Linked DNA regions of Lonchura striata. Each later gene encodes a partner of the first gene's protein in a complex. Links are inferred from orthologs where the notes say so. Each region holds a gene or a part of one and is shown in the gene's direction. Other genes may lie near its edges.

Region 1 (7,991 bases):
ATTTTTGAGTTCCTCTGTCAAAACCAACGTTACTGGTTTACCTTCCACAGGCGAGCCAGGCTGGATTTCTCCATTCTGGGACTCTTTTGGTGGGATCCCAATCTCTTGGCGGTTGCCCCTCTTATCACAGATCATCAAACCAAACCGGTTCTAGTTCTGGTTCCGATTCCAAAGCAACCTCCCTCCCCATCTTTGGGCTGGCATTTCCAAAGGCAGCTCCATGAAACAGCTTCCAGATTCCCAGGTCTCAAGTGAGGACAGGATGAGAAATCCCTGTAAAATGCTGAATTATTTCTTATCAGCCAAAGGGAAATGTCAGGTCCTGCCTGTCCCGTGGGAACGTGGGCTGCAAAAAGAAGCTGAAGGCTTTTGGGCTGAAGGCTTTTGCCAGACATGGGAGGAACCAGCGGAGCTCCCGGTGATGTGGGGCGGTTTTGTCAGAGCTGATACCGATCTACAACAGCGACGTGGTGTTGAAGGAAACATTTCTGCGCTTATAACGAGGAAACCAGAGGATATCTGCCGAGGTGACATCGATCACGTGCTGTTAAAACACGCATAGCGCCGTCACCTCGCAAATTGCCCGGCCTGGAGGAGACAGAGGGAGATAATGATAACGGATGAGCGGCTCGGAGATGGATGCCGGGGCTGGAGAACTCTATTAACAGCTCCTCCAAGCCCTCCGATCTATCGCATCCCCGACTATCGAGTGCAGCCTCGCTCAGGCTTTATGAGAAAAACAGCTCCATTAAGCAGCCGATTGTTGTCAGTGTGCGCAGGGGTCGCTTGAGTCTCCCCTGCGCCGCCGGGAACACAGAAATCTTTACATTTGCCGTGAACTGAAGTCGCCTTTGGGGTCAAACGCGGCGGCTGCTTCACGGTCTAAATGACTTCCAACTTGTGTACTACCTGGAATCCGAGGATGTCAAATGCACTCATTAACGAAACTCTACAGCCTCTGATTCATCCGGAAACTCGCCCTTTTATAGCTCAGGGGAGGCAAAGCCAACAGATAAAACTCTCAGATAAATCTTCTGCTTCCAAAATCTGCATCACCTTTCCTTTTTCCCTCTCTTTTCTTCCTTGGTGAAAAATTTCCCCTGATGCCAAAGTGTTTCTTCCATTAAAAGAGCAAGGAGAGATTTTTGACCTAGTATTTATTCTGGCCTTTTCAGCGTGAGACGAGAACATGAATCCCTGCATATTCCCAACGGGTGCTGCTGACTGAGATGCCACTTTACACCCTTTTTATGTCTCCCATATTTTTGAGGCAGTTTGACTGTGCTCAGAAGAGCACATCCCTTCACATCGGGGGCTGGGGCACTGCAGAACAACGGGTGTGGGAAGAGGCTCAGGGGGCACCTCCTCACTCTCTAAAACTCCCTGGCAGGAGGGGGCAGCTGGGGGGGTTCAGGCTCTGCTCCCAGGGAACAACAGGACAGGAAATAGCTTCAGGCTGTCCCAGGAGAGCTTCAGGTTGGATATTGGGGAAAATTTCTTGCTCCAAAAGGATTGTCCAGCCCTGGCACAGCTGCCCAGGGCAGTGGCGGAGTCTCCATCCCTGGGGGGATTTAAAGGCCTTGCAGATGTGGCACCTGGGGACATGGCCAGTGGTTGGGCTTGATCGTCTCTGAGGACTTTTCCAACCCAGAAGATTCTGTGGTTCCTGTCTGGGCAGGGAAAGCCTCAGCTTTCCATCCCTGCCCCGGTGCCTGTGCTCGGAAAGGCGGAGCTGCAGCAGGAGCTGCTGCAGGAGCAGCTGCGGGGAGGAGACACAGCACCAGACCCCCCCGGCAAGGGATTCGGGGTTCTGGGGAGCACCGGTGCCTGTGTGAGGATTGCTCGCCTGCAGCGAGGGGGCAGCGCCGGGAGCGGCCGCGGCTGCTCGGTCTGGCCGGGGAGGTCACCGGGAGGCTTCCCGAGCCGGGAGTCAGTGTGTGAATCATGTTTTGATGCGTATCGGCTTTGGCCCAGAGCCCGCCCGCCCCCTTCTCACCTGCCTCCCCGGGCTCCCAGCCCCGACTCACATCTGCTGGGAAGCAGGGAAGGAAATCTGTGTGCCGCGCATGCATAAATAACACCGCTGAAACCCGGCTTGCTTAAAAATAGATATTCTTCCCGATAAATATTTTACCTACTGTCTTTAGGCTGTAAAGCTGCCCCGACTGAAATGTTAAAACGAACCTCGTTTGTTTGCCCCTAAATGCCCCAAACAGGCAGTGCTGGGCTGAGGGGTTGCCCTGGGGAAGGAACGTGGCCACCTGCACTCCAACACCTGCGCTTAGAGCCTCAGGGAAGGTGGCCTGCTGGCCTGTGGGCATTGAGAACAGAGCTTTGCATCCAACTGACTCACTTGGTGACCTGTGGGTTTGAGTAATGGAATCAAAATATAAGATCTCTCATGATATTTATGAGCAACATTCTTCTTTCCATATCTGTATTTCTTCCTGCCCAAAAGTGGAATTAGAATTAGATGGCTGAATAAGGCAAAACAAAGGACATCGACAGAGCCTGAGATAGGAGGATTTTTCATTAAAAAGAGTGACAGGTGGGAGAATGTGTCCAAATGTGTCTCTGGAAGATAATCCTGCATTTTGGGTTTAAGGGCATCACTCACGGTGCCTTACCTGACATGATACTTCCACTCCTCGGATTCCCTGGGAGCAAGGGGGTAATTTAATCTGTTATTCTGTCCAGAACCTGGGGCTGAAGGCTTGCTTGTGCATGGAAAGGGCGCTCCTGAGGGCAGCACTGGCACCACCTCTGCCCTGGCACGGAGCTTTGGCAGCAGGGAAGGCTGGCCAGCAGTGCCGGGAGTGAACAGGAGAGGGTGGAACCCGCAGTGGGAGCCGTGCAGTGGAGAGGCCAAGCTGAGATCCCGTGGGAGCGCTGTGCGTGCCCAGCAGCCAGGCTGGTGGCTCCCAGCCCACAGCCAAGGCAGCACCGCTGAGCCCTCCGTCCCCATTGCTGTCCCCGTGCCCATCCCCGTGCCCTGGAGCCCGGCCAGCAGAGCCCAGCTCACCCCAGAGAAGCAGGGCAGTGTCCCAGGCAGCCCAGAGGGGACGGGCAGCCCGAGGGAAGGGCATGGGGCACGCGGCTCTGCCAGCTGTGCCCGCTGCCAGCTGTGCCCGCTGCCAGCTGTGCCCTCGGCGGGGATTTCTGCGGCACGCTCAGCCAGGCCGGGCCCTCGCTGCCCAGAGGGATTAGGGGGATCCATCTGTGCAGCCCCAGGGACTGGGATTCCTTCAGGTGCGCTGTTGGGGTTGTTTCTCTGAGCCCTCCATGGCAGCATGTCACCCTGTTCTTTTGAAGGTTTTAAAGTTCTTTTAAAAGTTTTCTATGCCTTCTGATGTTTATATATTTCTACTGGAGTTTCTCACACATTTTTCATGTAAATAATGATTGTTTTGAATTCTTTTTTGTGGGAGGAGAGAGTTGATGGACTTGGTTTGACCAGTGTGGTTGGAGAGGTGGCAATTTCTTCCTCAAATCCACTGTCACTTTTGGAATTCTGTATATTGCGAGGTCAGAAATCAAACTTGCTTTCTTTTGCTCTTTTGATCTTAGCGTGCATGTGTGAGTTATTTTGTGTTGTAGTGCAACAGCAGCAGGTTGGAAATAAAGATCTTTAAGCTGCCGTCCCACCCAAAGCGTGCCAGAATTCTGCAATTCTCTGGTTTTGTGTGGCTGCTGTTGAGGAATTCATTAAAGGCTAGCAGAAACGAGGCCATAAGCATTTTCTGCAGCCAGGCAGTTCGTTCTGATAACAATCATGCAGCTATCATCAGCCATCAGCACAAAGCACCATGAGGCAATGAATCAGCTCCTCAGGAAAGGGAAGGAGAAAAAGCAGAAGTTGGCCACCCCAAGAAACATCATTTGCCAATCTCCCAATCTCTTGTAAAGAAAGGTCATTGCATTGGAAATATTCCATGAGTGTAAACACACTGAAAGTATATGAAAATTAATGGTTCTGTAAATCAAATTACACACGTATATTCTTTAATTTCTACTTTGAAATAATGTTTACACATTTGAGTATTACAAATGTGAATGTGGCAGGGCTCGACTACCACCAGGAGCAAACACTGAGGAACTTCCTTAGCAGCAATATTTGCTATCCATTAACCTTCAGCTGAATGGCAAGGAGGATCTATGCCTGAAATGCTTCACCTGCCTTTCCTGGTGTGTGCAGTGACCATGCACCAGACACATCTGCAGGGGGCTGTGCCCGGTTTCAGCACTCTCCTGCTCTTTTGCCCCAGAGTAAACGAGCACACAGAACAAAGCGAAGTGAAGCCCAAGATCAGGCATGGCTGCGCTGGCACCTGTGCCTGGCTGTGTTGGAGCACCAGGACACGCCAGGGTGAGGCCGGCACTGCTCCCAGCCAGCAGCTCGGCATCGGGGATTGGTTTTCAGCTGGGTTTGAGCTGAGTCTCCTCGGGGAGAACAGGGACAGCAGTGCCACACAGGGACACCAGGAGCGATGGAGAGGGCGCTCAGGCCTCGGCAGGGGCTGCCCAGGGCGGTTTGGAGCGCCCATCCCTGCAGGCGTCCAGGGCATCCCTGCATGTGGCACCCAGCGCTCCGGGCTGGGGACAAGGTGGGCACGGGGCACAGCTGGGACTCCATGGGCCGGGAGAGCTTTTCCAGCCTCGGGGTTTGGGATCCCGGGATTCCCGCGCCGGCCGCGCCGTCCCCGTGGCAACGGCCGTCCCCGCGGCGGCGCGGCGTGTCCCGCGCGGCGGCCCGTACCGCGGGGCATTGTGGGCCGGCCAAGATGGCCGCCCCCGTGCCGCGGTGCTGAGCCCAGCCGCGCTCGCCGGCGCCCCGGGACGCGCGTCCCGTCCGCCGCCGCCCGCCCCCGCAGCGCAGCTCGCCGAGCCGCCCTCGGCCCGACGGTGTGCGAGGGAGCCGCGATGGGCCGGGCGCGGTGCCCGCCGCAGGGAGCGCGGGGCCCGCGGGGGTAGAGGTGCGAGGGAGGCCCCGGGCCCGGTCCCCGCCGGTCCCTCGGTGCTCCCCGGGCCGCGCCCCCGAGCCCGGCCGGGGCCGCTGCCTGCGCCAGGTGAAGGCGCTGCGTGCCCCTGGTCCGTCCGTACCCGCGCACCGGGGAGCGCTGCCCCCGCTGCCCTTGCCCCGGCCTCCCCCTCCGGCCGGAGGGACCCCCGGCCCCGCTGGGTGCCGGGCTGGACATCGCTGCCCACGTGCTGCCCGGCGCCTCCCCGCCCATGGAGTCTGAGATGCTGCAGTCGCCTCTCCTGGGGCTCGGGGAGGAGGATGAGTCCGACCTGACGGACTGGAACTTGCCCCTGGCCTTTATGAAGAAAAGGCACTGCGAGAAGATCGAAGGCTCCAAGTCTTTGGCTCAGAGCTGGAGGATGAAGGACCGGGTAATGCTCCAGGGCACCGTGGGGTTTGGAGCAGGAGCAGTCGGGGGACATGTGGAAAAGGAGTCGGAGCTCAGAGGGGGCTGAGCTGTTGTCAGGTGAAACGCTGCCTGTGGATGCCACAGTTTGTGTCCCAGTGCTGCGGGACTGGGGCAGCAAACCTGCAGCTGGCCCAGAGGCACTGCTGTGATGTTTACAGCCCTGGGCATTTGGAGCAGCTCCACCACTTTGGCGCTTTAAATGCAGCTTGGTGTGTTCTGGGCAAGGCAGTGAAGCACCCGAGGTCAGGAGGAGCAGCAGGTGCAGGAATTGCAGCTGCACAGGAGCTGGGTGGGTTTGCTGTGCCAGCAGGGTGCTGTGTGCAGTGTCCAGTGAGGGTGTCCTGTGCACAAACAGCTTGTGGGATTTTGGAGGCAGGACACAGTTTTCAGACAGAACTCTGGCTGTGTTACAGCAGGAGCTCCTGGGGTGTCTGGGGACATGTTGTGTGTTCCTGAGAGCACTGGGAGTGACAGAGACACGTCCCAGCTGGGAGTCTGGGATCCTCTGCTGCCTCTGTGGGATGTCTCAGTAAAGAGCAAACAAAGCACCTAAGAAATGTCCTGGACCATCATCTGCCCTCATTCTGTTCTTGGAGCCTTGCTGGCTTTCCCAGCTCTCAAACCCATAACTTTGTGTTTCTAGGTATTTATGGGTTTTTCTGGTGACCAGTTTTCCAGTACGTTTATGATCCTCTTGTAACAGGATGGAATAACTTACTGAAACTGCAGGCTGTGAGCTCTTTGCCCAGGCTATCCCTGAGTCTCAGTGTTCCCAGAGTGGTGGTTGCATTTCTCAGAAGTTCTGAACCGTGGACTGCAGGTGGGACTTGGCAGCTCATTGCTGGGTTGAACTGAGCACTTTGGGTGTGATTTAAAGGCAGCACAAGGCAGCACAAGGCACCACGTTGGGTGCTGTGCTCCAAAGCGTTCTGGCACACAGGAGACTTTCTCCAGTAGACTGTGGAGGTGTGATGAGCTTGCTGGTCTATTTTAGGTGCCTCTGCCTTCCTGAGATGTTTCCTGTTCCTTCATCCCTGATCTGCAGAGTTGCCTCTTTCTAATTCAGGAATGACTTTGCCCTGGTTGTGCTGATCATAGGTTGTGCAGCAGCAGCAGCAGCAGCACAAGTTCAGGGGGTGCTCAGGGGTTCTCTTTGGCTGCTGTGAAATGTTTCATGTGCTTGCCACCATCAGTGGCAATCCCAACCCAGCTCCTGCTGCCCGAGTCCATGGAGCTGCATTTCCCTCCTGTGGGACTTTCCGTGCCAGAAACGTCGTGGTTGTTGCTGCTGCTGCTCGGTGGGGCTGGGCCCTGGGTCACTCTGCAAGATGCTGAATCTGACTCTTGTGAAAGAAGAAAATAGAAGCAAAGCTCGACTTTTCAGTTTAGTCCTATTTTTGCTGTCAGCTGGAGCCAAATGACTTCACACCAGGGCCAGTGGTGTGGCTCGGGTGTCGTTTGTATCTGGGCAGTTGGATCAGGGATCCTTTGGACAAACTTGCTGTTGTGTATAATTACGTTTTTGTTGAAGAGCAGGTACATAGGAAGATACCAAAAGCATGTAAAGACACCTGAGAGAGGAAGAGCAGCTGATTTGAGAATGCTCAACCTCATTACTTTTAAATCTCAGCAGCTGTTTGTCATGTCTTGTGTTTTATTCCCCTTTTCAGCTATCACTAGCTGTCTCCCCAGTGCTTAATGAGAGGTAACAACCACAGAACCTCAGCTGGGGAGGGAAGGGGATGGGGCTTGGATTGCTGCAGGGGTGATGTCCGGTAAATATTTCCACCCAGTGAGCTTGAGTTTGGCTAATCCTGCAAAATAGTTCATAAAATCTAATCTGGTTTGACCTCGTGTCCATGATCAGAAGGTGGAGGGAGGGCAGCTCACTCATGCTGCTGTTTTCCCATGGTCCAGCTGGGTGTGACAGGTTTGTCCAGGGAATGGAGCACCTGGAGAAAACCCCAGGAGCTTGGTGTTTGTGGGGTTTTCCTGTGAGGCAGTGGTGGTGTGAGGGCAGCCTGTGCTATCAGGGTGAAAACTGATGGGTTGTTGATTTTCCCCCTTTTTGTTCCTGAACTGCTTTGTTTTGTTCTCTGGCACCATAAATTAATTACTTCTAGTTTCAGCTGTCTTCAGGAAGTTTCTTCTCTTCCTCTTTCCTTGCTTTCCAGCTCTGTCTCCAGGGTGCTGCTGCAGCTCTGTCAGTGCCCACAGCCCCTGGTGTCCCTCTGCCCCTCCAGCTCAGCCCCTTCCTTCCCTGCAGGCCCAGGGGGAGCCTCTGTCCCCATCCCCAATTCTCTGCAGCTCCTGTTGTCTCTTGGCTCCCTTTCCCACAAGCCAGGGCTGATGGACCCGAGGTGTGCTGTTCTCTCTGGGCTGCTGCTGCTGCTGCAGGAGGTTCCCTGAGGGCTGGAGGGGATGTGCCTCTGGCTGTGAGCTGAGTGTGGAAACCTTGCAGTGCCTTCAGTCTGAAAAACGAACTCCTCCCAGCCCGGGCTGGGCCATGCCTGTTCATTAAACACCCCAGCCTGTCTCTGAACGAAGAGGTGCTCAAAGGTG
Region 2 (7,436 bases), on another chromosome or scaffold:
GAAATCTTTCCTATTATCCAGTCTAAACCTCCCCTGCTGAAACCTGAGGCCATTTCCTCTTGTCCTATTGCTTGGGAGAAGAGACTGACCCTCACCTTCCTAAATACAACCCTTGTCAGGTAGTGTAGAGAGTGATAAAGTCTCTCCTGAGCCTCCTTTTCTCCAGGCTGAACACCCCCAGCTCCCTCAGCTGCTCCTTGTAGGGCTCCTGTTGGAACTCAAAATGTCTCTCAGACATTTTTGGAGGTTCCAGGCCTTGATCAGAAGCATTTTAGACTCTGGCAGGCAGCTGCAAACAGCTGTGATTTTGAGTTCGATCTACAGAATGAGTTACCAACTTTGGAGGTGGAACAAGCAGTCACAAAAGCTTAGATAATATAGTAAAAGTAGTTACAAAATAGAGGGGAAAATTTTTTAGTATTGTACAGGGGGAGTTTAGCACCTGTACAAGGGGTTTTTACTTTGTACATGGGGGTCAGAAGTTCTAAGATGGAGGAAAGTGGGCTGATCCTGTTCTTCCTCCTTCTTCTTCCTTGCCTCCAGGTTCTTGGTGATGCTGGCACTTATGGATTGGTTTAGAGTAGAAAAACACCTTGTAGCATAGGTAGTAGGTATTGGGGAAAAACTGTAAACATATAAAACATAATATAGCATATAAAAATAGCAGCATCCCTGGGCGGGGAGAGAGAAGAAGAAGACAGCAGACAGTGAGGGTGTCAGGAGTGTGTGTGCCTCAGCCCGGGCCGCTGACCAAACAGCCACAGTCCGCAAAGACAATCTTTTAGATAACTAACAATAAACTGCCTTGAGACCGAATAACAAGAGCCTGTGGAGTTTTTCTTTGGAAGCACGGGTTGGAGGAGAAATTTCACCACCACATGGGACCCCAGAGCAAGCCTGGGGATCCCACAATGGTTTCTTTATATTCTCCTTTTCATACCTCTATTGACAGTATTAGCTGCTGAGAACAGAGTTTTATCATGTTCTATGCAGTTTGATGGGCTTCATGTCAAGAATAAGACTAAACAAATAGAGAGATTACAAAAACTCTTGCTAACAGTACAGAAATATCAAAGAAAGATTGATCCCATTCACTAGATTTTCTTATCTTCCTGTTTGTCCACATGTCATTCAGTATTTATCATTCATTTATAGCCAATTTGATGATATTGCAAATTAAGGAAGAGTACTGCAAGTACATTTCCGTATGATAAAATACTCTTCAGCTACAAATCAGACTAGCTCAGTTGAATTCAGTAAGTTATCTTCTTGTGTGCATAGTTTGATTCAAGTTTATGTTTTTTCTTCTATTTCTTCCATTTATACAATGGACAGCCTGCAGCTGGTGTACATTGCACACCCATATTCATTTCCATGGAGTTTAAATGATTCAAGACAGTTAAGGCTCTGCCATTAGCTTTCTCATTTGACCCCAAACAAGTGAAAAGCTTTCCTTTTTGATCTTTATTTTGGATTTTAATTCTTGAAGATCTATAGCTCACGTAGTAGTATCTTCTACAGTATATGGCATATCACTGTTCAGTCTGTAAAAACGCTGCCCCACACATGAGAGGGCAAAAGCAACAATTTTGTGACTGGAAAAGGAAAGGAAAAAGCAGTTTCTTTTTGAGCCCTTTGCATGCAAGCCCAGAAATGTGACTCAGGTTTTAGAAGCCCCTTTCCAGTCCTTAAACATGTAGGAACATTTTACCCTGGTTTCAAGACCAACCTGCCTCTGCACACCTCCAGGTGACAGTAGAGGATTGTTATAGTCTCATATGTCACACTTTGCAGTTGGGAAAGGAAATACACCAGCAGCTCACAGGAAATTCTGCTTTCACAGTCTGTCCTTGTGTCTCATTTTGGAGATTTACTAAACTACATAGAGAACTAAACTCCATACTTTCACATAAAAATGATACATGAAGAATTAAATTGAAGCATTCTGATTCCCCATTTAGCCACTAATATATCTATTCTTTGACTAGATTTATAGTGATTTGATGTATTTTGTTTTAGAGATTGAATGACAAAAAAATAAATAGAAGAGGCTGCCATACACTGGATCAGCTGTAATCCGTGACACAAAATCCAGGTGAAGAAACTAATTTTCTCTTTAGTATTAATTTTCCCCTCCAAAAGGGAGAAAGAGATTTTTTTTTTCACCTCCATATTTCTCCCCTTCTGCACACTCAGGAGCAATAATTGCTGATGAAAGTGCGTAGAAAATTTGACAGGCTAGGAACTTTAAAATGTTTTAAATAAACTTTTGTGATTCTTTCCCCACATTTGAGTGAAGACAAGAACATAGGAAAAGCTCCTAAAACACATCCAAACTAGGGTGGGAACTCCTTATGCCACAACATTTTAAGGCCCTGACTTTCCTTGCAGCCTTATGTGTGAGGCTGTTGGAGGTTTTTTGTTGTTTTTTCCTTTGTTTGTTTGTTTGTTTTGTGGGGATCTAAGTGGTAGTTAGGGTTAATGCATTCTTACTCTTTTCCATTTCTCCATAATGAAAAATTTAAAATCTAAGTGTTATTTTTCTTTTCTTTTTTTTTTTTTTTTTTTTGCAATTGTGGCAAATACTAATTATACCTCAAACTTCTTTTAACAGAGCACTTATAAGTGACATTATGACATTCTTTTATGTGTCATTATCAGAGACAACCTAAATTTTGCCTGCAAAATCCAAATATAATTAGTGTGAAAAAGACACAGGAAACTCAAGCCCCCCACAATGAATGTAACATTTTGATTATTAAAGAGTGTCTGCAGGAAAACATCTGCAAAAGAATACTCTGGGATTTACAAACTACCCCTTTCTTATTCTCCCTTGTTGAAATACAATGTTTAGGTTCTCTTGAAGTACCTCATGTCTTCTACACTTTTTATCTCTTAAGGAAGAAGCAGGTGCTGAATGGCCGTAACATTTAGCATAAGTGTCCAAAGCAATTTAGATATAGATAACAAGTTCAAATCCAGTCCAGATTGGACCAATATTTAGTGGGGACACAAAGTCATGTGAAAATAATTACACAACAGCAGAATTTGTAGAAAATAGGATGCAGCATTACTACCACCAGCAGTTAATTTGGCATTTTCAGGAGGTCAAGGGATCCATGGACATGAGATCCTAAAGACAGCCCTGAGACATATTAATGAACCTGATCAAGGAAGTTCAACCTGTTCCTGTGTTATCAACAGATGAGCTTTTATTGTGTAGAGCTTTTAATTTTCAGAATCTTTGGCTCCTCCAAAACATTAGCTTCATATTTAACATATTTAAAAATCACAATGCAGAAGTTTTTTGAAGATCATATTTTAAATTAAGTATACTTGATATAGCTATAGAATAAGATTTTTCTATGTCTGGCATTAACGGATATGCCAAAAAGTTTTTACACTCTGTCTTACCAAATAATTATTTTACTCTCCTAAATCAGTATTAATGTTTTAGAAGTGAACCAGTAAATGTAAAAAAAATGAGAGGAAACTTAATGTTCATGAATACATAAAATCCCCAGATTTTTATAAGTAATGCTGGATCTGAATTAAAAGACCTTGAGAGGGAAAATTCAGACTGGAAAATTATTTACTAGAAAACAGGAAAGCAGTTACCTAAGCCTGTAAAGGTATTTTTATATGGCTAGCTACATCCACATTTCAACTTTATAATTATTTGCTGGATTTGATTTAGAGAATTTGGGATGTCAGAGTTAAAGGATCTGCCTCATCCACAGGTGTCTGTAACATCAGTGTGTGGTGTGGGGTGCTATCAGCAAATTTAAATTTCTCCCTAAAGATGAGCCAGTACATCAGTGAACGGTTTCTGGCAGTGGGACTTCTTATCACATTGGGGTTCTGGTTTGTTCTTGTTTTTTGTTTTTTGTTTTTTTTTTTTTTTTTTGTTGTTTTTTTGTTTTGTTTTGTTTTTAAATTGCATATATTTTATTAACTAAGTTTCACAAATGTATAAGCATTACGAAGTAGATCAGCACTCGAGACTAAAGAGAGACCCGCTACGTACAAACCAAACAAGTGACGAAAAGCTATTTCTTTTTTCCTGTTTTTAATTAATTCGCGCTTTAAAAAAGCAGAAAACATCCGGCGTACAAAGCCGACGGTCCGCACCCACGTGAATTACCACCTCATCACAAGGCCCAGAAACCGGGAGGGGAAAGGAAAGGAAGGAAAGGAAGAGAGAGAGAGGAAGAAAGCGAGAGGAAGAGAGGAGGAGAGAAAGAAAGAATCAAACAAAAACACAGCAAAAACAAAACAAAACAAAACAAACACACAGGAGGAAAAGGAGCGATTTCCGCCGCCAGGCCGCTGCCGAGCCCGCCCCGCCCCGCAGTGAGGGGGGCGGTGCCGGGCGGGGGCGCCCTCCGCGTCGGCGGCGCCGCGCGCCTCGCCTCGCGAGAGCGGGCGAGGTTTCCGGTGTTGTGGCTGCGGGCCGCAAACATGGCGGCGACGCTCCGCGCCCGCTCGCTCAGGCACCTCCGCATCCGAGGTGAGGAGCGTCCCGCGGGCCGCCCCACCGCCGCCCGCACCGCCACGGTGCCCGCCGGCGTCTCCCGGCGCCCCCGCTCCTCTCCTCCCTTTTTCTTCCTTATCCCCGGCTTCTTCCTCCCCCCCCGTCTAACGCGCCTCTCTCCCCCCGTCCCCGCAGGTCGGAACGACAGCGGCGAGGAGAACGTGTCCCTCGATCTCAGCCGAGGTACGGCCGAGGCGGGGGCCCGCCCGAGGCGGGCTGGGGGCGCGGCGCAGCGGAGCGGCCTGGTGGTGCCGCGGGGCGGGCGCGGGGCCGGGGCCGCCGCCGGGGGCTGAGCGCAGCCGCCCGCGGGTGGGAGCCGCTCCCCGGGCACCGTGGCGGGGCCGTGCCCGGGCAGCTCCGGAGCCGCGGGGCTCCCTGCTCTCCGCCGTGCGTGCCGAGGCTGCTCGGCCGCCGCTGGGGCTGCCCTTGAAGCCCCTGTTGCTCGCAGACAGGGTTGTTCACGGCGGCCAGCCTTCCGGCCGACCGTGCCCTGCGTCTCCGAGCAGCAGCTCGGCAGCGGCGTCTGTTCCTCTACTCCTTACTCCATTCCTTTTTCGTGTATCTCTGCGTGCCCTAGGCCGGCTGGCCACCCCATTTGCCGTGAGCCTCTTGCTCCAAGACCAGCGGCCACTCATCTCCCGTTTGCTTGTTAAATTGCTTCAAACATCCTCCACTGCTCTCAGACGGTCTGTTGTGGCGGGGGGGGGGCGGGGAGGGGGAATGATAAGAGGAAGGAAACAGCGCTGATATCTGCTACACGCTGAGAAGTTTTGTCTCAGACATAACAGGTACTCGTTCCCTACCCACACGTATAGGATACAAAACGTGATCTTGCCTAGCTGAGTACTGAGGTAAGACTTAGACCCTCTCAAAGAGACTGGTATAATTCAGAAAGCAGACTTGAATGTTACTGCTCTATAAGTGGCGATATTTCGTGGGTAGAGGATACTTGTCTGGGGAGGGAATGAAGTTGATACTGGTGTGTAACTGTTCTGCTTCAGGAGATCCAGGATGACTATTATGCTGAATAGATCTATTTTATGGGGAAGTCGGTAGGGAAATGACAGAATCAATGAGATAAAAGTGGCCTATGAAATGGAAAGGAAGTAAAAATACCAGCAGAAGAAGTACTGTTTTCATTTTAGAATTGTTGATACTGCATTATACGTTATTTAATTCTCTTTTCCCACAAAGTAAGCTGTGTTTAGAGTTATTTTATTAACCAATTTTGTCGTGGGCTGCAAGTTATCTCTGTGTATACATACCATATTTACAAGTGAGTTTTAATAACCTGGCAAACTGCTGGGGTTTCCTCAGTTTAAAGAAACAGACTCTTATTCTATCTCCCAGTGGACATGATCACTTTAGAGAACTGCTGTCCTTAAAAATTAAAGCATGTGAAGCTTTCATCAGCAAAATGTGGAAATGAAGGCCTTAACAGTTTAAGCACATGACAAAGTTGTTACTGTAAGCAATGTTGCCCGTTTATGAAATCTGCAGAATTAGTATTTTAATGAATGGGTCTTGTAATTTTTTTTAATGTTCTGTAGCATACTGAAATATTTTGAGGTGAAAGAACAATACATGAAATTTAAATGCTGGAGTGGTACTTTCGAGATGTGGTCTGTTTGAAATCTTCTAATCAGTATTTGATAGGTGACCATCATTGTGATATTGATTTTTGCCATGCGGTGTTTTCAGCTGCCTGCTGATTCCAAGAGACCTGTAGTAGTAGCAGCACAACTATTACACGTGTATAATATTGTAAAAGAGGCTCTTGAGTAAGATGCAAACTTCATTTTTAATATGTGCTTTCATTTTATTTTTTTATTAAAAAAGGTATTTTGCACTGTGGCAATGTATCTTCTATTACCAAAAAGAATAAATCATTGGGGAAATCACATGAGAAGCTACTTTAAATTTAGATGTTAAAAACCCAGTGGTTTTCGATTTTCTGTTAGAAAGACTACAGCTGACTGATCAGTAACCGTATAGCACTCTATATCTGTGTAGATATTAATTGCATTTTAAAGAGGAAACAAAAATAAGAAGCTTAAAAGTCTCAGCAAGACATTAAGCTAGAGGATAACTTGATTTCCATGGTGAACACAACGAGTATTTGTTTTTCCAGCTGTTACAATAGTTATGTAAGCAATTATTTTAAATATTTTGTTACCCTAATTTGGTACTAATAGCACAATGTTTTGATTCACTGTGTTGTGCAGATCACATAGTTTTCCACAGGGCTCACGTTTGCATTAGCTTAAAAGAATGTTCTAATGTTTTTTGTTTCCTGGTACAACTGAACTTTGTGTTGATTAAAGTGAAATATCTGATTTGGGAAAGCAGAGAATTGCCATAAACAGAGCCTCAGCCATATGCTTCTAGTTACAGGGGCCTCTTTGTTACAAACACAAGAAATTATATTGGTACTGCCTTATTTTGGATAGGTTCCTGTTAGTAATGGCATGACTTATCCCAGAGGTTAGACCTTGACTCGTCCATACCTGTGACTACACTTTCCATGCAAGAGGCCAGTGCTGTTATGAAGAATTTCAAAACAAATAATAGATGTGGGGAGAGCACTCCAGTCTGTGCTGCCCTGAGTTCTGCTTCTTCCTGGCTTTTTGAGCAGTAAGGCTTGAAGAGTGCCTTGCTGCTTGCAGAGTGATCTGCATTTCTCTGTATAGTTTGGTTTGCTCTTTTCTCTGGTCCTGTAGTTACATGGTTGCTCATGTTTTCCCAGAAGACACCAAGCTTTTTACAAAGTTTTAACATGACTGCTATACTAGGTTTACTTTTTGGAGCTTTTTGGTGCTTTGCCTTTTTAAAAATGATACATTATGCTTATGAAAGCCATGTTGCATGGTGGTGAATGCTTCATTTTGTGTGTAGGTATGTG
Region 3 (7,622 bases), on another chromosome or scaffold:
GTCACTGCTCGCTGGCCGGCAGCCCGTTCCCAGCGTGTTTGGCCCCACGGACGCGCAGCTCGGAGGAAGGAGCCGCGCTGCCCTTCAGGGCCCGGGCGGGGCTGCTGGGACCCCTCTGCTCGCCTGGGGCACCCCGGCATGGACAGCTGGGGGCTGAGGGGTGGGAAACCCGCAGTGGAGGCTGCGGTCGGGACCACCGGCACCGCCATCGCTCCGAGGGCAGCAGAGGGAGGAGAGGTCTGCCCCGGCGCCGTCCTGCCCTGCCCTGCCCGCAGCAGGCAGCCCGAACCGGGCACAGCTCGGCAGGGCTGCAGCTCTTCCCGAGGCCGCGGCAGCGCGGGGAGAATGAGGGAAAGGGGCACCGAGATCCTGAAACCCGGCCAGTGACCAAGGCTGCGCTAAGGCAAGCCCAGGTCCTGCTCCTGCCCCCCAGACCGCTGCGCAATTACGGTTTCAAATTTAAAAATAAATCAGAGTAAAGCTGTTTTCTTTCCTGCGTTGCTGAGAGGAAAGCAGCAGGGCAGTACCTGCAGCAGTTATTCCCAATTTCTGACATTCTTATCAAGCCTTGCAGGTTTCATTTCTACAGGTCCCATCTCCCTCCAGCTGCCGGGGGAGTCCTCCTGCTGCCGTCAGGGCTGCCAAGACTTTACAGATGTTTTCACAGCTCCTTTCCCGTTGTTTCTGGTTTTCCTTCAGCTGTTGCTAAAGCAAACTGGGGTGGGGGAAGGAGGGAGAAGTTTGCAATAACACGGATCTAGATTTCACAAAAAGTGTGGGAAGTATCGAGAAAAAACAACAACAGAAATAGCCTCAGAGAGAGCTTTCAGGCAGGGCATTCCGAGGGAGAGAGGCGCTTCCATGTGGCACTCCCAGCTGTGCCCCAGAGCAGGGTGGGAGGGAGAGGGTCCAGCCCCGCGGGGGGGAAGCTGACAGGGATGAGGGAGCGAGTGCCAGCAGCGCCACATGGAGCCGCCTGCCAGCCCAGCCACACCACAGGACAGCGGCCAAGCTGCCTCGTGCCACCCGGATCTCCCCCTGCCCCTCCTCTGCCCCCTGCATGCCCGGGCACCCTCTGCCCAAGCTGTGCCCAGCAGCACCCATCCCTGCCCCAGCCCCCATGTCCCCTCCTGCAGCCGGCACAGGCTGTGTCTGCCTCCAGCCCGATGTCTGCAGGCAGCAACGAGGAGGAGGAGGAGGAGGAGGAGGAAGAGCCAAACACTGCTCCTCTGGCTCTGGCCATGGGTACCAGGGTGAATCCCGTGCCACTGAGGCTGTTTCCAGGACCCAGGGCTGCGTTTTGGGGTGCTGAGCACCCCCAGCAGCGCCGGGGACGTCCCAGACAGGGTTTCCTGCCGAGGGCTGGGGCCAGCGGAGATGCCCTTCCCAAAGGCAGGATGGGCTTGTTTATGGGGCAGCCTTTATCTGCACGAGCAGCCTCGGGCGGGCAGCAGGGATGTGGCTTCGTCCGGGTCTGTCCTTATCGCCAGCCGCCATCGGAGGGAATGTAAACACAGAGGATGGGGTGGAAATGCCGCGGCACAGGGACATCCTCACTGCCGTGGGGTCCGTCACCATCCCCGCCCTCACGGGGCTGCAGTGGGGTCCCCAGGCCCCCAAGGGGGGTGGGCTGCAGAGGGGGCTGGGGATGAGCCTTCCCGCGCGGGAGACACCCAGACAGGAGGTGATGGATGGGGCGAGATGAAAGCTGCCAGCCCGCCAGGCAGGAGTTTATCCTTCCCTCGGGTTGTTTGCTTCCTGTCTCAGCAAACCTTCCTGTAATCACAGTCCAGTGGGCACCAGTGGGGCGCAAGTGGGGCCAGCGATGGCCCCTGCCCCTGCTGCCATCCCCCAGGGCTGCTCTCACACCAGGGACAGGGACATTTCGTGACTTATGAAACACATTTTCTTCCCCAGGACCTGCAGTGGAGTGAATTCTTCCCCAAAAGCCAGCCCTGCTCAGCTCCCAGCGATCCAAACCAGGTCAGAAGCAAAGGCAGTGCTGGTGGAGGGACAGACACCTCGGAGAGCACTTCTGCTCCCGATTTAGAAGGCAATAATGCGATAACTTCATATCACATGAGGATGACAAAGGGCTTTCCAGCCCTGGGAGCTGCCCGTGGAATGGGCAGATAAAATGCCCTGGAGAGGAGCACTCTGCAACCGGAGGGTGCTGTGGTGTGGGTGGGAGAGTACCCAAAGCCTCTTCTCTGCCTGCAGACAGCTCCCGGGCAGCTGGAGCTCCTGTCCAGGGCAGGAGGATCCCTGTCCCTGTCCCTGTCCCTGTCCCTGTCCCTGTCCCTGTCCCTGTCCCTGTCCCTGTCCCCTGTGTGCTGCCGGGAGCACCGAACTCCAGCAGGCACCGGGAGGGTGACACCCTGCTCTGCCCCAGCCAGGATGTGCCCTAAGCCCCGACCTTCCCCCGTCCCTGACCCCATAACTGTTCTCCAGCAGGAGGAGGAGGAGGAAATGGCAGCGGCCGCCTCTCTGGGTTGGGGGTCACTGCTGATGTCATTCCATGCCGGAAATGTTATTTTCCTGCCCCAGTGCCCACTAATCGATTCAGCAGCTGGCACAGGGCGAGGGCTGCCTGCTTGGCACCACAGCCTGCCTGGGCCCCTGGGGGTGCCTGGGGGCACCACAGCCTGGCTGGGGTCCCACAGGACCTCGGGGGCAGAAACACCCGTGTCCATGGCCAGCCTGGCAGGACGCTGCTGCCCCGCAGAAAACGCTCAGCGACCCCCGGGAGCCCCCAGGGCCCCGGGGCGGGACCGCGGCTCCGCGGGATGAGCCTGGCCCCGGGCTGGGGTCCGGAGCCGTGCGTGGCTGCCGGGCTCCATCTGTTGGAGCCGGGGCCATGGTTTGGGCAGGCCGGGGTTGCTGTGTCCCACCAGAGGAGCAGCCTCACGCCCCGGTCCGGGACAATCCCTGCCACAGCCTCGGTGACCCCGTGGTGCTGCGACACGGGCTCAGCGCTGCCGAAACGCTGCTGGCATCTGCCGGCGGCTGCGCCGGCATCCGCGCTGGAAAACATCCCGGCTCCCGGCATCCCGGCACCCCGGTATCCCGGCATCCCGGCATCCCGTCTCTCATCTCCCGGCATCCCGGCATCCCGGCTCCCAGCATCCCGGCATCCCGTCTCCCGTCTCTCGTCTCCCGGCATCCCGGCATCCCGGCATCCCGGCATCCCGGCATCCCGTCTCCCGTCTCTCGTCTCCCGGTATCCCGGCATCCCAGCATCCCGGCTCCCGTCTACCGGCATCCCGGCATCCCGGCATCCCGGCATCCCGGCATCCCGGCATCCCGGCATCCCGGCATCCCGGCATCCCGGGGTCCCGGCATCCCGGCATCCCAGCATCCCGGCTCCCGTCTACCGGCATCCCGGCATCCCGGCATCCCGGCATCCCGGCATCCCGGCATCCCGGCATCCCGGCATCCCGGCTCCCGGCTCCCGTCTACCAGCATTCCGGCATTCCGGCATCCCGGCATCCCGGCATCCCGGCATCCCGGCTCCCGGCAGCCCGGCCGTCAGCAGATGTCAGCACCGCACCGGTGTCTGGTGAGGGTCAGCAGAGCCTGTGGCCACGGCCGGGGGAGCAGGGAACGATGAAGGGCTTTTTCTGGAGGGTACCCGTGAGCAGGGTGGTCCCAGGGATGCTCGGAGGGGCTTCACGCCAGGTTTCATCCCTGGGTTCCGCAGCCCCCCCCATGCCAAGCCCAGGGGTCCCGCCCGGCCGACCCTGCGCCCCTCCCAGCGCACTTCGGCTGCTCTTTAGATCTCCTCTGTAATGAAGTATTAAGACAAACCCTATTTCCCATAGCTCCAGCCCCACCGGAGCACCCTCGGGGACACAGCGTGGGGGGCGCCGGACCCGTGTGTGGCCCCCCGGCTCCTCCCGCATTTGTTCCCGGCCCTCGGGGGAGGCAAAGCCATTTGGGATGGGGGCAGCCGGGCGGACATCTGTCCCCGCGGCGTTGCCACGGGAGCACCCGGACCTCCCAGAGCGGCCACCCCGCGTGGGCAGCGGCGGCCACGAAGGGGCAGCGCCGCCAACACCCCCGGGGGCTCCGCGGGGTCCCCGCCAAGCACGGGGCAGCGCGACCCCAAAAGCGGGGAGCACAGGCCAGGGGTGTCCAGGGCCAAAAAAGGGAAGAAAAGGGGTGAAAAAGGGAGAAAAAGGGAGAAAAATGGAGAAAAGGGGAGAAAAAGGGAGAAAAATTGAGAAAAATGGAGAAAAGGGAAGAAAAATTGAGAAAAAGGGAGAAAAGGGGAGAAAAATTGAGAAAAAGGGAGAAAAGGGGACCCGCCAGGAGTCCCGCCCATGTAGCGCTAAGCCCCGCCTCCTGTCACTAAGCCCCGCCCCGAAGGGCCCATCTGTATTAGCATAGCCCCGCCCCTGTCGCTAAAGCCCCATCCCAAAGAACACGCTATATTAGCATAGCCCCGCCTCCCTGTCACTAAGCTCCGCCCCGAAGAGCCCATCTGTATTAGCATATCCCGCCCCTGTCGCTAAGCCCCGCCCCCTAAAGTCCAACTGTATTAGCATAGCCACGCCTCCCTGTTGCTAAGCCCCGCCCCTTCCCGGCCACGCCCCGCGGCGGAAGGGGCGTGGCCCTGGCCGGAAGCGGCGGGCGGGCGGCGGCAGCGCCGGTGCCGCTCCCGGTGCCGCTCCCGGTGCCGCTCCCGTCATCGCTCCTGTCATGTCGGGCCGCTGCTGCCACGGGCAGACGCCCAGTCGTGACATCCCGGGCCCCGGCAAGTGCCTCGCCCTGCCCGACGAGGCCCCGCTGCCGCCCGGCGACTACAGCACCACGCCGGGGGGCACCGTGTTCGGGACCACGCCGGGCGGTGAGCGCCGGGCCGGCGGGGGCCGTGCCGGGGGGAGCGGGGAGGTCTCACCGCGGGAGGGACGGCTCGCTTTGAGCGAGGGTTTGCAGGGCCGGGGGAGCGCTCCCGTTCTGTCCCGGGACAAGCGCCGGGAGCCCCCGGCCGGTGCCGGGGCTCGGTGGAGTTCGGGGGACCGGGGCAGCCGGACAGCGCCTGCCCGGGGGTGCGGGGGTGCGTGCTGGGGAGCCTGGCAGGGAGCAGCCCCGGCCTCTCCATGGTTACTGATTAATTCTGAGCGCTGATATTTGCTGTTTTCCCTGGCAGTAATCCCTGGGACCTTTTTCTTTATTTCCAATCGCAAACCGCTCCGGTTTCTGGAGGCGCGGGGCTCTGCTGCTGCAGCTCGCCGTGGGCTCCTTCCCTCTCCGTCTGCTGCAGCCCCAGAGCCGCCAGGAGAGGAGCCTCCTGTAGGGATTTGATCCTCGACTAAGAGAAATAAACTGGTTGTGCCCAGCGTTCCTCTGTCAGACAGGTTTTGTGTCCCCAGCACTCCTTGGCTGTTCATTTTTGGCAGTTTGGCCCCAGAGAAGTTCCAGGTGATGGCACAGGGTCAGCGCGGGGAGTTCCAGCGGCCTCTGCTGCCCCTGAGCCGCGGCTTGGGGCGATTTGGGGATGATTTTCTTTCCACACCTTGTAGAATCTCCCCGCGGTGCCGCTGCAGATCGCTGCATCCCTGCCCGGCTGGATGCGAGCAGCAGGAAGGCTGAAGCCAAAAGGACGAACCGTGGGAGGGCAGGGAGGGGGTGTTGGTTGTCCGATCCCCCGCAGGACTCCAGGGGTTGAACGCGGGGAGAAGGAAGCGGCACTGCTGACTCACCGGGCTGTGTGTGCAGGAGAGCCGAGCTTTGGGGCTGTCCTGGCCCTGCCTTCCCTCCTTGGGAGCAGCGAATCGCTCAAGGCTCCAGCAGCACCTGCAGGAGTCGTGCCGAGGTGTGGGAGCCTTCCCCAGCCCCGGGTCAGGCGGCAGAAATGAAATAACGAGCGACTGGCGCGGCAGAAATGAAATGAGCAATTAGTGGTGCGCAGTAATGAGCCCTCCGGGGCTGTCAGCGCTTTGTCCCCGCGGAGTTCCTGAGTGCCTGGAGCAGGAGGAGAAGCTGGGCCGCGTTTGTGACCGGGGTGTGCCCACCTGGCAGCGCCCGGGGCCGTCCCCGCCTGCCCGGGGCCGCCGTGTCCCGTGCTGGGGACACCGTGTGCTGCTCGGCCCTGCTGCGGTGCTGACGGGAGGGAGGCTCCAGAGCTGCTGGAGGACAGACAGCCGGGGCTGTGTGTGTGCCCTGAGGGGCTTGCAGGGAGCAGAGCATCCCGTGCTGTGTGTGTTTTCCTGCTAACACCCCCTGGCAGCACCGGGGAGCTGCGGGGAACGCGGCTCTGGGTGGGTGCAGGAGTGTGACAGCCCAGGCCGGGTGTCCTGCCCCAGCCGGGTGTCCTGCCCCAGCCGGGTGTCCTGCCCCAGCCGGGTGTCCTGCCCCAGCTGAGTGTCCTGCCCCGAGTGTCCTGCCCCGAGTGTCCTGCCCCAGCCGGGTGTCCTGCCCCAGCCGGGTGTCCTGCCCCAGCTGAGTGTCCTGCCCCGAGTGTCCTGCCCCGAGTGTCCTGCCCCAGCTGGGTGTCCTGCCCCAGCTGAGTGTCCTGCCCCAGCTGAGTGTCCTGCCCCGAGTGTCCTGCTCCAGTTGGCCCCTGGCTTTCAGGAGCTCTGGGCGTGAGGCTGTTGGAGAAAGGTGGAAGCTCCCAGTTCTGGTACAGAGCTGCAGTTCTAGGAATCCCTGTCCTCCTCCTGGAGCTTCCCAGGAATTTTAACACCCCTCTCCCAGGCAGCTGACTGTAGGGATGGATCGTCCTCCCGAAAACTGGAGCTCAGAATCATCAGTTAAAAGCTTTTTGGTGTTTTGAGAACTCCTTGGCAGAACTCAGCTGTTGGACGTGTTGTTTTATGTATTTATTGTATATTTACAGTGTTCAAACCACAGGGAGTTGGTTGCTCCGGGACAGATGGTGGCAGGAGCTGTTTGCCCACACGTGTGTACTTTAGTTAATGCTTTTGGGGAGGGCACAAGGACAAGTCCCTTTCCCTCTGGCTGGAACGGGAGCAGAGCAGGGCACACCTGATCCAGAGGGGTGTGCAGCCTCCTCCTGTGAAGCAAACACTCTTTTCCAGCACTTGCTGGGTTAAGGCTGTGGGCTGTTTGGAGGGATCCCTTTTCTGCCTGTGGTTTTTGAGCTGTTTCCATGAAATTCCTTTATAAGGAACAGGGTGTTCAGTGGTGTTCCTAGAAATCCATGCCTGGAGGCTCAGCGTGGTTGGCTGGAGCTGGGTGGTTCCTGGTTAAGCCTTGGAACATTAACCATCTGTGTAAGCCCTGAGCAAGGTATGTGTAAGTGCTGCTGTGCCAAGGGAAGTGTCTGTGCAGGAATTCCCGCTGGGCAGAGCTCAGAGGGACACGGCTCTGCCCCGTCCTGTCCCCTGGTGTGTGTCCACCTGCAGCTTTCAGCCATCAGTGGGAATTAAATTCAGTTTTCTGTTTGCTCTGTGGGCTGGTGTGACCTTGAGCGAGGTGGAAGGGGCTGGATCTGCTGCTTGCAGCCCCTGCCTGGGGTTTGGAGCCCTGTGCTGCCTTGGGGCAGCAGCTGGCAGAGTTTGGGTACCAATGTGTCACCTTTAGTGGCAGGTACAGTGTCAGCGCACCTGGAATTCTGGAAGGGTAACCCAGGCTGAAGTGCTGCCTCACAGTTATCA
Region 4 (7,982 bases), on another chromosome or scaffold:
AGAAAGAATTAAGTGAATTTTTCATGATGAATTTTAATCACCCATTTGGTACTGAACCAAAATTGAATTTTATATAAACACAGGTCTTACTTTTTACTTTCTTCGATAAATTCTATGAGACCTAAAAGTAACCCAGAGAAAGATTTTGGCCTTGCCTTTGGCCTCAGCTATCCTCCCTGTCCTTCCCTTTCTTAAAGGGTTTATTATGAAACTTTGGATTCATATTTCACTAATTAATTCATATTTCACTCCTTCTTTTGTCTTTGTATCTATCACCTTTCCTGGGCTGAGAAGAACAATGATCTGAAGACTCATATTTTGTAAACATTTATTTTGGCAGCAGTGGTAACTGAATTTACCTGCTCTCTGCCCAGTGAAAAATGATTACTTTGAAACTGGATCAGTTCCCTGATGTAATTAGAATATAAATCACAAAGAGTTAAGCCAGTACTACAAGGCAGGAGGGCAGGGTCAGAGAAAAGGGGCCTGAGTGGCAACTGTTGGAGAAGGCAAGCACCCCAGGAATGGGTGTGAAGCCACTGCTCAGCCCCTGGCTTTCTTACCACACCTCCACAGTTTTATATTCCTTTAGTTCATTTGTATTTATGCAAAATCAATGCAAAAGACTATCTGACTGGAATAGCAGTGGTTTATACCTTATTGTCAGAAGGGGAAATGAGCACTGGAGCCACATGGCAGTGTGGAATCAGGGCTCCAGCAATGTCATTTGATAACACACGGCACACACAGACAATAGCAGTCTAAACAATATTACTGTTTTCCCTTAGTGATTTGCTAAAGCTGATTCACTCCACTAGCTGCCTCAGCACAATTCAGGGTGACACTGAGGACAAAGAGATGGGAAGAGGTGACACATTATGGTCAGGAAAGGATGGAAACTGCTTCAGCCAGAACAGAAACAAATGGGAAAATCATGGTCTGGTTACTTGCAGTATTACATTAGAATCTGCTGGCTGATTTATTGTCACTGTCCTTCTATCCCACTGTTGTGGTGGTCACTTATGTCCTCAAAGCAAGAATACCTGATCTTGTGACTCAGCTTCTGACCTGCATTTGTACATACAAATGGGTGGTGCTGTCAGAAACTTCTGCTTGGAAGGAAGAAAAGAGTAAGAATCTTCAAAACAGCTTAATCAGAAGTGGAACAGAAGTTTTCCCTATGACTATCTCATCAATTTTAGAAGGTTGTTGCTTTTTTTTCCCTTCCTCTTGTTGTTATCCAAGCAGTTTTTCAACCCCTCTGGGCTTTACTGCCATGTTTTCTGGTGATAACCATAAGAAATTTAGGCTTTACTCATGAACAAAAAATGTCACTGTAAGGGAAATCAATGAAAGCTACAACAACACGTTAGAAAACAGATACCTTTGCATTTAAAATCACACAGTAACAAAGTAAACTGTGTAAGATCAACCAAAACTTAATATACCTGCAACATCATAGCTGATTCATTCAAGAAATCCTCCATGCTCTGATATTCAGGGTTGAATTTGTTAAGCTGTTGCACTATTAGTGCAATAAGTTCTCTGTGGCTGACCATCTTCACCATGGAGAATCCTATAAATACAGAAAATCATTATTTTTTCGTGCCTCCTTCAGTTGTGGCATAATGCATGGTGATAGGCTCATACAGAAGTTAGACTGCAGTAATGCAGAAGAGAACATTTAGGTCAAGCTTTCAAAATCACAGTTACTCAGAACAGCTGACAGGGGAAATGAAAATACAGTACAAACATCAAGAAAACAAAAGACAAAATGACATATTGTAAATATCTCAAAATATCTTAAGGATAAATGCTACTGCACCAGGTTATTTGACAAAATATAATTAAAGATAATATAGAAAGAAACATGGACTTTTCCCTGTGTGCACACAGGTCCTACTTAACACACTGCTGTTCCCAGTGAGATGTATCAGAAAGCAAAATTTTAGTCTTAAATTTCATCACATGTTGCTGTAAACAGCCTGTTTTTCAAAAGCAACAAAAGAACAGGAACAGAGAGGAATTATAAGGAAGCAGTGACTGTTGGTCAGCAGGCTGGGCCATGATCACAGCATTTCAGTGGTCTGGGCCACTGCCAAGGTTTGTGAAGGCACAGCAGTTGAGTATTTATGTTTGATGCTTTTCTTGTGAAATGACTGGATTTTGTCTCTCTCAAATGAAGCCTTACCCATATGTCTGAGAATGTGTAGGACTTGTTACCTCAATTTTAATGTTCAGATGACAAGAACTATAATGCATTTGTTCCTACACACACACACACACACACACACACACACACACGTTGTTGTGTATGAAAGACCAATCACAGCAATTACCAGGCCTGAAAGTCATTAAGCTGGTTTAGCAATGGGAAAAAAAAAAAGAGAACAAAAGCACCTTTCCATGGTGAAAATAAAAATGTAATTTTGAAAATAATTCTTGTATTTTATATATCACAATATTTTGACGTCAATAAAGAATGCCTGATCCAGATGATTCATCCCCACTGTGGTAAACATAATTAATTTCTCCGTTTTAAGTATTATGATAATATTTCCAGACACAGTGGTATTGTACTCTACCTTTCAGTACCATCTTACTAAGTAATTGCCTAAAAAGCACTTTTCATTCCTAATCTCAAAGAACTGAAAAAAAGAGTTTGTCTGTGATTACATTCACTATAGCCATTTAGGTACCTGTTATGATTAAGACAAAATGTCTAAATAAAAAAAAAAGTCCAGCAAAACAGGGTTGGATCCTAATAAGGGATGACAAATACAGAAAAAGGCACCACTGTGCAAGGGAATCACTGTTACTCCACTCCTCTGAGAATCATTTTTTTCTCAGGTAAGAACCTGCCAAGGTTCTTACACTCACAAGGGATTTTGGATAAGCGAGGGAGGAATATCTCTGTACTTCAGAGTGAATCATAATTCAGGCTCCAACAGCTCTGCCAGTAACAAATGCTTTTTGTTCTGGCATACCAGTAAGAAATTCGAGCTCTCATGCTCTGATATCCACACCTCCTCCCAAATAACAATCATTAAGCCCCAAAACTGGAATGTGAAAACTAAGATGCCTTCAGATCTCTGAACACATAGGGGGTCTTAATAGAAAAGACCCCACTTCTAATAAGCTGTTATTATTTTTGGCAATGTTTTAAAAACATACACATTGAGAATAAAATGCTTCTTGTATGATATGCACCCTTATTTCCACACAATCGATTAGAAAACTACTCCAGTTATTATGTATCAAAGTGATATAAATTTATACTGTGTATAAAATGGCAGAAATTTTCTTCCATTATCAGCTGTAGATTTCAGTTAAAGGAGGCGAGAACCTGACTTGACCTTATTTTATGGTGGAGCTTGGAGATATTTTGAAAGCAATTACAGAGGATAAGAGTGGCCACAATTGTAGGAATTGGTTTCAGTGACCTGAAAGGTTCTTTCAGGTTTTATATCTGCTCCCACATTCCTGGCCTAGAAAGACTGTGATTGCACTTCCTCTAATGAAAGCTGTCCTTAAAAAGAGCTGAACTAAGCCTCCCTGCAAAATTCAGACAGATCAGATGGAAAATGTTCACTTTGAGGATCTTAATTTTACTTTTCATGTATTTGAATGTTTTGCATACCTACTGCAAGTGTTTTCCTTAACATGACGTGGTATTTTTTTTATCTCTTAGCTTGCACAACTTTATAATTAAATACTTATTGTACAAAACCTTCTGCAAATAAGTTTTACTATGTTTATGAGGTGGGTTAACAAATGTTCACCAAGGCTGGCTACTTGCCCAAAATTTCAGGGGACAAAGCCCAGCAACCCTGTCCACAGCATAACACACTTGTAAGGCCCCTTGATGCTTTCTGTTGTACTTACAAACAGCTAATAAATACGAGCACTGAAAGAGAGCAGGTTTAGATTAGACATTCAGGAGGAACTCCTCCCTGTGAGGGTGGTGAGGCCCTGGCACAGGCTGCCCGGAGGATTTGTGTGTGCCCCATCCCTGGCAGTGCTCCAGCCCGGTCTGGATGGGGCTTGGAGCAGCCGGCTCCCGAGCAAGGTGTCCCTGCCCAGGGCGGGGGCGTTGGGAACGGATGAGCTTTAAGGTTCCTTCCTACCCAAACCACTCTGTGATCCTAGGACTGCATGAAAACAAAGGAGCGAAGGAGCCACGAGCCTGCCCAGGGCACCCGCCGCTTTCACGCGTCGGGAATTGCACCCGGCTCGTTCCGGGGGTGTCACGTACGGCCACATCTGCCTCGCCCGGCCGCTGCCCCTCCCGTCCCCGGCCGTGCCCGCCGCTCCCGTCCCGGGCTGCTCCGTGTCCCGGCGCGGTCCCTCCAGCCGCGGCGACCCCGCGCGCGCCGTTGCCAAGGAGCGCGAGGGCTGCTGGGAGCTGTAGTCCTGCTGCGAGCCCGCCTCAGTGCTGCGAAACGGCGCGACCGGGCACCCGGAACTACACGAGCGCGGAAACAAGATGGCGGCGGTTGTTTGCTGCCGTTGCCACGGAGCTAGTACCTTTCCCCCGGGTGTTTCCGCTCATGGACAGCCAGCGGTCGGTGGCGCGCCGGTTGCTGGAGCACGGACAGCGCTGGCGGGCGTTGGTAGGGTCTGCGAGTCCCGAGCGGACGCGCGCAGGGCGGCCCGCGGAAAACTACAACTCCCGGCAGCCACCGCAACAAGGCGTTAGCCGGGGCGTGGCCTGCGCGGCACGCATCTTCCCGCCCCCTCCACGTGTTACGCAAATGAGCAGGTTGATGGGCGGGGCAACTGCGCGTGCCCGCCCCGGGCCGCCACCCTATTGGGTGGGGAGGGGAGGGCGCGGGGGCGGTGTCGCGCATGCGCGGTGGGGCGGCGCTGCCGCCGGCCGCGCAATGTTTTGGGGGCGGTCGGGGCGGCGCGGCGCGCGCGGAGCCGCCGGACGGTCCCTGCGCTGACGGGAGCGCCCGGCGGCCGCTCCGCGGGGAAGCGCGGCGGAGCGGGAGCAGAGCGCGACCCGGGGAGCTCCCAGCCAGGGGCACGGCTCGCCTCGGTCCTCCGAGCGGCGCGGGTGTGGAGCCGGCAGCTCCCGTGGCAGCGGCGGCGGCGGCAGCGGGGTGCCAGCGGCCGCGGTGATGATGAACAGGTTCAGAAAGTGGCTGTACAAACCCAAGGCAAGTTGCGAGGAGCCGCCGCTGCCCGGGGTCACCGTCACGGCGCGGGTGGAAGTCGGGACGCGGCTCCCGGCGCGCAGCCGCGGGTCGCTCCGCGGCCGGGGGCGCCGTGTGGGGCGAGCGGAGCCCGCGGGCGGAGCGCGGGAGCGGCGCGGAGCGCGGCGCCCGCTGCGGCGGGATGACAAAGCAGAGCGGGAGCCGCGGGGCCGCTCCGAGCGGGAGCCGCTCCGAGCCGCGGGAGCCGCTCCGAGCCGCGGGGCCGCTCCGAGCCGCGGGGCCGCTCCGAGCCGCGGGGCCGCTCCGAGCCGCGGGGCCGCTCCGAGCCGCGGGGCCGCTCCGAGCCGCGGGGCCGCTCCGAGCGGGGGCCGCTCCGAGCCGCGGGGCCGCTCCGAGCCGCGGGGCCGCTCCGAGCCGCGGCGCCGCTCCGAGCCGCGGCGGGCTCGGGGCTCCGCCGGCACCGCGGGGAGGCGGCGGAGCCCGGGCGGCGCTCCCGGGGCGCTGCGGGCTGCGCCGAGCCCGGCTCCGGGAGATGTTCGGGCGCTCCTGTTGTGCCGTTAACGCTGTGTGTGTGCACCTGGAAACTTCGGAAGTTAGGAGATTTACTGCGAGGTGCTCTGTGAGTGTTTTGTGCCCTTCTCGCTTTGAAATTCTTGGAAGGAATCCAAGAATCGCAGTTTGCTTTGCAACGAAATTATCATCCTCTGCCTCGAGTTAAGTAACAACTGTCTGGAGAGTGATCTTATCTGGTGTGTGATGTTCGGCTCGTAAATCAAGGACATTACTGGTTTTGAACATCTCTAGCATCTTTTTCTTGTCCGGCCGTTACAGCAGTCAGTATAGTTATTCACTTTCTGAAGTATTTGATTTAATTTTGGTTTCTGTTGGTCTCTATCAGACGTTTTTTCCTATGCTTTGCTATCAGTCTTGGGTCTCAGTTTGTGCACCTTCCATGTACTCCGTTCTTTTGGCTGTATTTTGGCCAGTATGTTGCAGTGAAAAAAAAAAAAGCCAAGGTGATGCTGTAAAATAAAAGTTCATATTACACTGGCTTTATGGATTTTACATGTAGTCCTAACTTTTGGGAACTGCTGAAGAACGCATAATTGTCAGATATTGCTGCTAATAACTGCAAGAGAGAGAATGTAGAGATTTAGTAACCAGAAATACAGTAACAAGTTATAGGTAACTTAAATTGAATTTTCTTATTTGTAGGTGTTTTATACAAGGGAAGAATAGTTAATGAACAAAAAGGAAAACTGTTAAATGCAGAGGAAATATTTTTCAATACAGCTCTTGTCACTGTTTTTTAAACAAAAGTCACTAGATTTCACATTGTTTTTCTTTCTTATAGCAATTTTATCTTTTTGTGATAAAACTTGTTTTTTAATTTGCTGACCCTTTCTTGTAAGGCATGTGTTGGGCATTCAGGATCTGTATCAAATAAGGTATACTTATAGTTCTGTGGGACTTCTCTTGGGGTAAAGTGACTTTTCAAGCCTGTTGCATGACAATGGGCCTCATAAATCAGGAACGCCTATTGTTGTTGGTTTAGAACCAGCACCACTGCTTTTTGTTGTCTATTTATACCTTCTTTGCCAACAGTTTTTCTTAGTTTCAGTAGCTTACGACGTCATTTTTGTTCTGGTATTCAGAATGCATTTCTGGTGAATTGTAAGAGCTCCAGAAAAAGGCATTTTTCCTGGTGTGCTTGTTGAGTGGGTGTGGATCGTGTCATTAAATACACAGAGGTTTGAATAGCACTTCTTTTATAGAAGGTGAGGCAGAGGATCTCACATGTAGAGACTGTACCTTTCCTGGTTGTATTGCTTGCTTTTGTATTTAAAGGAATTTGCAATGTTTCCCAAAAGATCAGTGGGTTCCAGAGTCTGTTTTGAATGTAATGTGTTTTGAAGAGGACTTTGCTGAATACTTACTCTGGTGGGGGCTCTCAGGTCTCAGGATTTATGTTACTTCTGTTAGGTACTGTGGGCTCCAGGTGCATTTTATCAGTTAGGTTTTGCTGCTCCCAGTGATGGGGAATACTTCTTCTGAAATATTCCAGGTCCTACTGTCATATAATAGGACTTGTGTATGGCAGCAGATTTTGATACCACTGGGTGTTTGGCCCAGAGCTTTGGTGTCTATTCAGAGGTACTTTTGAAGGCAAGGGGTGGGATGACATCAGAGTGCAGCAAATTCATAGTACAGCCTGCTCAAAAATCTGAATATATGGTGTAGCTTAATCCTAGGGGAACTATTTCATAATTCATCCCTGAAAAAACACAGCCCCAAAATATGTAAATTAATTCAGCTTAATCTTTTTAAATGGTGGAGACAAGGTAATGAAATAGAGTGCTTAACAAGGTGAAATCACAAAAATCTTGGGGTAATCATGAGTTACTGCAAGATGCACGACCTGCATCGAGGCAGGGGTATTTACTTGGCAACTGCTGCATCTGTTTGAACATACCAAGAATGAGAGAGAAAATGTGGGTGTAGGAAGTGGAAGATCTTGACTAATGTTGTGAGTGTGTCACGGGAACAGCACGGCTTCCCTAGATCCTTGTTCAGTCAGTGCTCTTCCTGCCCAGCTCTGTTCCTCAGGTATGCTGATACGCCAGATTCTGATAAACTGGATCAAATGCCAGCGGTAGAGGTAACCAGAGAATGAAATAAATAGCAGTGACGTGATCTGTAGAGCTGCCGGGAGGCAGACTTTTAACTGATGTATTGGAGACAGAGCAGAGACAAGATTTTGTTTCCAGCCTCCTGTGCCACATTGATTGTTTAATTTTTAAAATGTTGTCTGTAATATGTGTT

What was found.
Region 2: RPTOR (region 1) and RICTOR share a complex: the UniProt entries of both Homo sapiens proteins name them as parts of the mechanistic target of rapamycin complex. The link is inferred for Lonchura striata from reciprocal best matches to the Homo sapiens genes RPTOR and RICTOR.
Region 3: the proteins of RPTOR (region 1) and EIF4EBP1 are in contact, whole or in part, in a cryo-EM structure (PDB 6BCX), measured with the Homo sapiens proteins. The link is inferred for Lonchura striata from reciprocal best matches to the Homo sapiens genes RPTOR and EIF4EBP1. Residues at the interface, in NP_065812.1 of Homo sapiens: Arg54, Arg305, Thr317, Asp321, Phe337, Arg338, Leu341, Ala344, Arg348, Leu437, Gln438, Leu440, Leu441, Ser442, Gln443, Arg446, Tyr475, Lys478, Leu479, Gln481; in NP_004086.1 of Homo sapiens: Glu111, Ser112, Gln113, Phe114, Glu115, Met116, Asp117, Ile118.
Region 4: the proteins of RPTOR (region 1) and ZFYVE28 are in contact, whole or in part, in a cryo-EM structure (PDB 9F43), measured with the Homo sapiens proteins. The link is inferred for Lonchura striata from reciprocal best matches to the Homo sapiens genes RPTOR and ZFYVE28. Residues at the interface, in NP_065812.1 of Homo sapiens: Arg54, Arg305, Arg306, Thr317, Asp321, Phe337, Arg338, Leu341, Ala344, Arg348, Leu437, Gln438, Leu440, Leu441, Ser442, Gln443, Arg446, Pro474, Tyr475, Lys478, Leu479, Gln481, Ser482, Ser483, Ala484; in NP_066023.2 of Homo sapiens: Arg399, Val400, Phe401, Phe402, Met403, Asp404, Asp405, Val406, Glu407.

The regions. Positions count from the first base shown.
Region 1 is NC_134621.1:11,400,813-11,408,803, reverse strand, and holds the start of RPTOR (regulatory-associated protein of mTOR), read left to right. Parts: upstream 1-4,980; 5' UTR 4,981-5,229; coding exon 5,230-5,391; intron 5,392-7,991. UniProt on the Homo sapiens protein: Component of the mechanistic target of rapamycin complex 1 (mTORC1), an evolutionarily conserved central nutrient sensor that stimulates anabolic reactions and macromolecule biosynthesis to promote cellular biomass generation and growth.
Region 2 is NC_134642.1:36,611,094-36,618,529, forward strand, and holds the start of RICTOR (rapamycin-insensitive companion of mTOR), read left to right. Parts: upstream 1-4,430; 5' UTR 4,431-4,461; coding exon 4,462-4,510; intron 4,511-4,669; coding exon 4,670-4,717; intron 4,718-7,436. UniProt on the Homo sapiens protein: Component of the mechanistic target of rapamycin complex 2 (mTORC2), which transduces signals from growth factors to pathways involved in proliferation, cytoskeletal organization, lipogenesis and anabolic output.
Region 3 is NC_134634.1:4,353,532-4,361,153, forward strand, and holds the start of EIF4EBP1 (eukaryotic translation initiation factor 4E-binding protein 1), read left to right. Parts: upstream 1-4,610; 5' UTR 4,611-4,701; coding exon 4,702-4,849; intron 4,850-7,622. UniProt on the Homo sapiens protein: Repressor of translation initiation that regulates EIF4E activity by preventing its assembly into the eIF4F complex: hypophosphorylated form competes with EIF4G1/EIF4G3 and strongly binds to EIF4E, leading to repress translation.
Region 4 is NC_134606.1:9,003,979-9,011,960, reverse strand, and holds the start of ZFYVE28 (lateral signaling target protein 2 homolog), read left to right. Parts: upstream 1-4,969; 5' UTR 4,970-5,123; coding exon 5,124-5,162; intron 5,163-7,982. Other genes in the region: CFAP99 (cilia- and flagella-associated protein 99), read right to left, coding at 1,449-1,568. UniProt on the Homo sapiens protein: Negative regulator of epidermal growth factor receptor (EGFR) signaling. Acts by promoting EGFR degradation in endosomes when not monoubiquitinated.